Linked DNA regions of Pelodiscus sinensis. The protein of the gene in region 2 binds, or shares a complex with, the protein of the main gene of each other region. Links are inferred from orthologs where the notes say so. Each region holds a gene or a part of one and is shown on either strand. Other genes may lie near its edges.

Region 1 (3,744 bases), on a different chromosome or scaffold from region 2:
TTTGGGGGTGGGAGGGCCTGGTGGTTAGAGAGCGAGGGAGATGCCACTGTGGGAGGGGAGTTGGGTCTAGTGACCGGCTGTGAGCGCCGTGGCATTTTTAGCCCCTTCTACGAATTTCCACGTGGTTTTTATCGTGATCTCTCTCACCTTTTATCGTGATCACTGCTCCCTCCCCCCCAAGCCTTCCTCCTCCTCCCCCCCCCAGCCTTCCTCCTCCTTTTGGCCATGGCAAATCCAGCTTAAGGCTCGTTATTTTCTGCCGCGGTGTGGGGCAGCGCCCCAGATACCCTGCCTGACCTGCAGGAGCGGCTCTGTGGGGCCGGGTGAGGCCATACTGATAAAATTAACGAGGGGGGGGCTGGCAGCCAAGAGGCTCAGCCCGGATAAATTAGCATAACAGGATTTGGCGCCCAGGGGAGGGGGAGAGGCTGCAATCCCATCAGGGATGTATTTGCGACCAACGCAAGCCTTGATCGGGGCTAATCCACTGTCATGCTGCCGGGTACAATCCTGCCACCTGCCCTAGGGATCAGGCCGCCTCCACGCCCCTCTCTGCCCACTCCACCCGCTCGAGCTGGCCGGTCACAGGCCTGCGCGGCAGGGAGCAGGCGGGATGCCGGGGTAGATGGGCTCGCTGTGATGCTGCATCGGCCTGGCCTCTGTCCACGGGCGGGGGAGCCCAGGCAGGATCGGCGTGCTTGGCATGAGCGGGAACAGGCTGTGACGCTGGCTGAGGGTTGGTGCCCAGAGGACGGGGCTGGGCCGGTCCCCCAGTCGGCAGAACAAGCAGGAACCACAGTTTGGGCTAGGGAGAGACTTTCTGGCTCCGTGGGCACCAGCCAGGAGCCCGGGGGGTGTGGGGGGAGTCCCCTGGCTCCGTTCACTGTGGGGTGGGAATGGCCAAGCATCCCCTTAGGGCACCACAGCAAGGCTCCTCAGGGCACTGCTAGGAAGGAAGCTCGCAGCATGCCTTCTTCCCCCTCCTTTCTGGGCTGAAATCCCTACAAGACATTGCTATAGGAGAGTTCACATTGTTTGCTCCCTCCCCTGCTCCCGGCACTGCTGTGGGGAAGTTCACCCCTCCCTCATGGCACTGCTGTGGGGAAGTTCACCCCTCCCTCAGGGCACTGTTGTGGGGAAGTTCACCCCTCCCTCAGGGCACTACTGTGGGGAAGCTCGCAGCAGCCCCTCAAGACACTGCTGTAGGGAAGCTCACAGCACCCCCTCAGGGCACTGCTGTAGGGAAGCTCGCAGCACCTCCTCAGTGCACTGCTGTAGGGAAGTTCACAGCACCCCCTCAGGGCACTGCTGTGGGAAAGCTTGCAGCACCCCCTCAGGGCACTACTGTGGGGAAGCTCACAGCACCCCCTCAGGGCACTGCTGTAGGGAAGCTCGCAGCACCCCCTCAGGGCACTGCTATAGGGAAACTCGCAGCACCCCCTCAGGGCACTACTGTGGGGAAGCTCACAGCACCCCCTCAGGGCACTACTGTGGGGAAGCTCGCAGCACCCCCTCAGGGCACTGCTGTAGGGAAGCTCGCGGCACCCCCTCAGGGCACTACTGTGGGGAAGCTCACAGCACCCCCTCAGGGCACTGTTGTGAGGAAGCTCGCAGCCCCTCCCCTTGCTCCGCACTCACCGAGATGATCTCCAGCACCTCGCTCTTGCTGATCTCGCCGTTGCGGTCCACGTCGAAGAGGGAGAAGGCCCACTCCAGCTTGAGGTCAGTCTTGCCGGAGGAGGTGAGGTGCAGGGCGATGATGTACTCCCGGAAGTCCAGCGTCCCGTCGTTGTTGGTGTCGAAGCTGCGGAAGACGTGGCGGGCGTAGCCCTTGGGGTCGGAGTTGGGGAAGAAGTTGGCGTAGATCTTCTCGAACTCGGCCTGGCTGATGCGCCCGTCCGGGCACTGCTTCTGGAAGCTCTCGTACCACTTGCACAGCTCGTCCTCCGTGTACTTGGTGTTCAGCTTCAGGTCCTCCAGGATCTCCTTGGACAGGGCCCCGCTCTTACTGTTCCCCATGGCGCCCCGATGCTGCGCCCCGAGCCCGGCCTAGCCCCCGCGTCCCAGCACCCGCGCCCCGATCCCCGGCCTAGCACCCCCGCCCCTCCGCTCCCAGCCTGGCTCTAGCAGGTGGGCTCCTCGGCTCCCACTGGCATCTCCCAGGCCCTGGTGCTGCCGGCTCATATAGACTCCCTGGGAAGGGGGGGGTCTCCGCCAGGCCCCCCCCGCCCCTCCCGCGGGGCTGGCTCCGTGACGTTGGTCACAAGCTCCTTAGCGCTATTAACGGGAGATTGGCAGCCCTGAGCCACTTGGAGTATTGTCGGCCGCTGCCCTTGGGCGCCCGCCGCCCCGCCTTCTGCCGCCTCCCGCAGCTGCCTGCCCCCCCGGCCTCCTCCAGACTAGCTACCCCATCCCCCCGAATCCCCATCCCCCGCAAACCCCTCTATCCCCTGTCCCTGATGAACCCCTCCATCCCCATCCCCCCAAACCCTCCATCCCCCATGAACCCCTCTATCGCCCATCCCCCATTCCCCCACAAACCCTTCTATACCCCATCCCCCTGAATCCTCCATCCCCTGTCTCTCATGAACCCCTCTATCCCCCATCCCCCATGAACCTCTCCATCCCCCATAACCCCCTTACAGAACCCTCCATCCCCGTCCCCCATGAACCCCTCCACCCCCCGCAAATCCCTCTATCCCCATCCCCCATAACCCCCCCTGCAGACCCTTCTATCCCACATCCCCCATGAACCCCTCTATCGCCCATCCCCCATTCCCCCACAAACCCTTCTATACCCCATCCCCCTGAATCCTCCATCCCCTGTCTCTCATGAACCCCTCTATCCCCCATCCCCCATGAACCTCTCCATCCCCCATAACCCCCCTACAGAACCCTCCATCCCCCATCCCCCATGAACCCCTCCACCCCCCGCAAATCCCTCTATCCCCATCCCCCATAACCCCTCCTGCAGACCCTTCTATCCCACATCCCACATGAACCCCTCTATTCCCCCATCCCCCCACATACCCTTCTATTCCCCATTCCCCCAAACCCGCCATCCCCCGTCTCTCACAAACCCCTCTATCCCCCATGAACCCCCCCACCCCGCAAAACTCTTCCCCTGGAAACCCCTCTATCCCCCATCCCCCATGAACCTCTCCATCCCCATAACCCCCCCCGCAGAACCCTCTATCCCCCATCCCTCGCAAACCCCTCTATCCCCCATCCCCCATGAACCTCTCCATCCCCTTAACCCCCCCCCGCAGAACCCTCTATCCCCCGTCCCCCACGAACCCCTCCATCCCCCATCCCTCGCAATCCCCTCTATTTCCCCCGTTCCCCCACAAACCCTTCTATCCTCCATCCCCCTAAAGCCTCCATCCCCCATCTCTCATGAACCCCTCTATCCCCCATCCCCCATGAACCCCTCCATCCCCCATAACCCCCCCACAGAACCCTCTATCCCCCGTCCCTCGCAAACCCCTCTATCCCACATCCCCCATGAACTCCTCCATCCCCCCCAAACTCCTCAATCCTCCATTCCCCACAAACCCCTCTATCCACTCAGCCACCTACCCCCAGCCACCCCATTCCCCCATGAACGATCTATCTGCCTTATCCATCTATCTCAGCCACCCCCTCTATCTATCTACTCCCACCCATCCCCTTTATCTATCTATCCCCACCCGCCATCTATCTATCTAAGGGAATGGCTACACTACAAAGTTAATTTGAACTAAC
Region 2 (3,744 bases):
AGGGATGTGTGTGTTAGGCCATGGTGGGCTTTGCTAAGTGGGGAGCTCTCTCTTTCTCACCCCCCCCCACGCACAAGCAATCATTCGCATGCACACACTCACACAGTCTGAACCCCTCAACCTTGCCCTGCATCTTACAGCCACCCCCCTCGAATGGCTATTTCCAAACTCAGCTCAGCCCCTCAGTCTTCCCTCTCAAACTCAGACCGAACCCCCAAACCTCCCACATACCTCACCTCAGCCCTGCACCCCAAACTCCAATGGCAGGGCTCAGGCTGGTATCCCCTGCCCCTGCCTTTTCAAGCTGAACCCTAAATCTCAAAGTAAAGCTGTGTCTGAACTGCTCCCCACCTACTGCCCCCCAGATGGCTTCCGGTCGTTCCTTCCTCATTGGTAACAGAACAATTCTGATGTCACTGTTATGGAGAATTACAGACGGAATCCTATGATCCCCGCCTCAGACTTGGCTGTTTGGGGTTAGCTGTTTGGGGACCTCGGCTGTTTGGGGTTAGCTTCAGCTGCCTGAGACCCTCGCAGTTAGAGAAGGCAGTTGCCTCATGCATTGCAATTGATTATGTTAATTCTGAAACCTACCGATGACGTCCCACACTTCTCCCAGATGACTACAGAAACATCCAGGTAATATATGTAGTTGGGAAACCCCTAAATTACACACACACACCTCTGCAGGACACTGTCTACCCCACTTCCTTGCTCCAGGAAATCAGGCTCCTTCTCTCTGGGCAGGGCCACATGGCACAATTAGCAGATACTGCCTTTAGCAAATATCAAACCACTGAAAGTGTTGGGTTGTGAAAGCAGCAGACACGCCAATGCCATGGTGTGAAAACACCGCAAGAGACAGTCCCAGCTCCCAGTCCCCCTGTGCTAAGCTCTAACCCTCATTTCCTCCCAGAGACAGGGAGAGAACCCAAAAGACCAGGCTCTCAATCTAGCTCCCTTGTCCCAAGACTGGCTCCTGTCTCTCCCAGCTGAGTTGGGCCCCAGCACCAATGAGGAGACCCAGGGATGGCTCCTCAATAGCCAATCAAACTGTGGGAGATGTTTGCACTAACCAATCAGAAGGCAGTAAAAATCTTTATACCAAACCCTCCATCCCTCCTCAGTCCCCCCATCCATGTGCCCCGCTGTCCCTTCTCCATAGAAGTGGGGAGCAATGCAAAGGAAGTTGGGATCTGCACCAGCCTCCTGAGCACCCAGTAATGAAACAAGGCGGGTCACCATAGCCCCACATCTCTGTGGAGGGGAGAGGGGCTGTGTCCCTCCAGACTAACCCCTAGCCCATGGAGCGACCCAGCTGCAGGCACATCAGAGAGCCCTCGAGGCCACACCTGTGCCCCACGCCACCTAGGACACCCTGGCACCCAGGATCCTGTACACAGCAGCCCACACGGCTCTGCCCCAGCCAACTGGACCCAAGGCCATGCACTTAGAAGAGCCAGCTCCCCTCCCAGAGCTGGGAGAACCCAGGAGTCTTGGTTCCCTAACCCTCCCCTGAACTAATCCATCAGCCCCCCACTCCTCTTCCAGAGCTGGGGATGGAACCCAGATGTCCTGGCTCCTAGCCTTGGGGCCTGCCCCCCCCCAAGCTCTTGCCTCATATCCATTGCGTTTTTTGAGCCGCTTCTTGTTGAGTTTCTTGTTGGCGTACATCTTGCCGGTGGCCCTCATCTGGCAGGCGCAGACCTCACCAAAGCCCCCTTTGCCCAGCACCCGGAAATCCAGGAACCACTCCTCCGTCACACTCTGCCCCTCCAGCCACTTGAACTGCAGGAAGCGGGCAAAGAACAAGCTGTCCTTGTACTTGGCCAAGGCCTGGTCCTCCAGGTGCTTCAACAGGTGCTGTTCTGTCTCTTTGAAGAGGTCTGCTCGCCCATGCTTGGCATCTTCCTTGACCCTCATGACGACTTTCTCCTCCAGGAAGGAGCAGAAGGTCTTGGAGGCTGAGTCAAAGAATTGGTTGACAGTCTTCTGGGCCTTCTGGGTCCTCTCATTCTCCTCGGACGCTGCATACTCCTCCATGCTCTTCCAGAGTCCGCCAGCCGCCTTGAATGCCTCCTGGTCCTCCAGGAACTGTTGGAAGAGCCGCTTGCCAATGGGCTGCCGGAGGCAGATGCTCTGGAAGTTCAGGTCCATCTGGTCCTTCAGGTGTTCACACTGCGTGATGTGGGGCAGCTTCAGTTTTGCCCGCATCTTCTTGTCCCGCAAAGTGGAGGCCGCACTGGCATCCACGCTGCCCCGGGCTGACACATAGGCTGAGTTGGCCACCACCGTCTCCAAGCCGCCAATGTCCATGGCGGTGCTGAGTCACCTGCAGAAAAGAGAAGGGAGAGGAGATGAGGAGCCGGGTGCTGGAGGTGGGAGGACAAAGCCTATGTGTGGCCTCCCAGAAGGAGGGTATCTGTATGGCCTCCCAGAAGGAGAATGCATCTGGAGAGCTGGCCTCAGCTGGTCCCAGGGACCCCCGACATATCTGGATGGTGTCCTGAGACAAGCATATCTGGACATGGAACTCGGACAGCCTTCCCCAATGGCTGCAGGTCTCACAAACATGTGGATGAAACAGGGAAGGAAGCCTCTGCTGCACCCAGCCCCACCAGACATCTGAATACCCCTCCCACATACATCTGGCCAGCCTGATCCATCTCCTATCTGTATAGCCCAAGGCTCCCCACACATCTGGGCCTAAGTGGACCTGGCATGGTCAGCCAGACACATAAACCCTCCTCTTCCCCCGGCCCCAATCCCAGCTGTGCACAAGGGCTCCACAGCCTCCCACACATACACTCAACTAGACAGGCTATACGTCTTGCACTAGTGCAGAGGTCCACCCCTTCAGTCCCTGTTTGCACTAGGGCATGGTGTTTTCACCATCCACATCATCCTGGTGCAGAGATTAGCTGGGGGATGTGGAGGTGGCAAGGGAAAGTCAACCAGAGTATGTGTACAGTGGTGTCCATGCAGTTTCATGAGTTCACGATTGAGCACATGTTCATGCAAGACTGCATGTGTGCATGCATGCCTGCATTTTGTGTTTTGTGTATGCCGGCGTGTCTGTGTGCACATGCAAGATACAGATATAAAATCCCATTTCATTGGTTAACTGGTTAAAGGGGACACGGGAGAGGGGGTCCCTGCCTGTAGGGCACCCAGACTCCCTATGGAGAGAGGCTGCTCTGGACACGAGAGCAGCCCCCGCCTGTGGGATGCTCCGGCCTACTGTGGACAGGGCTGCTATGGATGACCAGAGCAGACCCTGCCCACAGCAGGCAAGGAGCTGCTCCAGCCCCTACCAGTTAACCTTTCACATCCCAAATGAAAGATTATGCAGGCATGGGCACATGCAGGCAAGAGTGACTGTGGGCACGCTTGTGTTTGCACAAGCATTTGTGTTTAGGGAAAGTGTATGTATATTTCCAGATCAATATATTTGTTTTGCTTGTGCAGGTGAGCCTGAGCACACATGTGTTTTCTGGGGCTGTGTGTGCACCTACTCTTGGGGTATGTCTACACTACAAAGTTAATTCGAACTAACGGACGTTAGTTCGAATTAACTTTGATAGGCGCTACACTAGCGCTCCGCTAGTTCGAACTTAATTCAAACTAGCGGAGCGCTTAGTTTGAACTAGATAAACCTCATTTTACGAGGACTAAGCCTAGTTCGAACTTACTAGTTCGAATAAAAGGGTGTGTAGCCCCTTAATTCGAACTAGTGGGAGGCTA

The links. The genes of interacting proteins can lie anywhere in the genome.
Region 1: the proteins of GRK1 (region 2) and RCVRN are in contact, whole or in part, in an NMR structure (PDB 2I94), measured with the Bos taurus proteins. The link is inferred for Pelodiscus sinensis from reciprocal best matches to the Homo sapiens genes GRK1 and RCVRN. Residues at the interface, in NP_776598.1 of Bos taurus: Phe3, Gly4, Leu6, Glu7, Val9, Val10, Ala11, Asn12, Ser13, Ala14, Phe15, Ile16; in NP_776590.1 of Bos taurus: Lys22, Trp31, Ser34, Phe35, Glu38, Cys39, Phe49, Ile52, Tyr53, Lys55, Phe56, Phe57, Tyr86, Leu90, Thr93, Ser94, Phe188, Glu189.

The regions. Positions count from the first base shown.
Region 1 is NW_027465849.1:3,549,605-3,553,348, reverse strand, and holds the start of RCVRN (recoverin), read right to left. Parts: upstream 2,304-3,744; 5' UTR 2,020-2,303; coding exon 1,639-2,019; intron 1-1,638. UniProt on the Homo sapiens protein: Acts as a calcium sensor and regulates phototransduction of cone and rod photoreceptor cells. Modulates light sensitivity of cone photoreceptor in dark and dim conditions.
Region 2 is NC_134734.1:9,963,364-9,967,107, reverse strand, and holds the start of GRK1 (rhodopsin kinase GRK1), read right to left. Parts: upstream 2,527-3,744; 5' UTR 2,317-2,526; coding exon 1,618-2,316; intron 1-1,617. UniProt on the Homo sapiens protein: Retina-specific kinase involved in the signal turnoff via phosphorylation of rhodopsin (RHO), the G protein- coupled receptor that initiates the phototransduction cascade.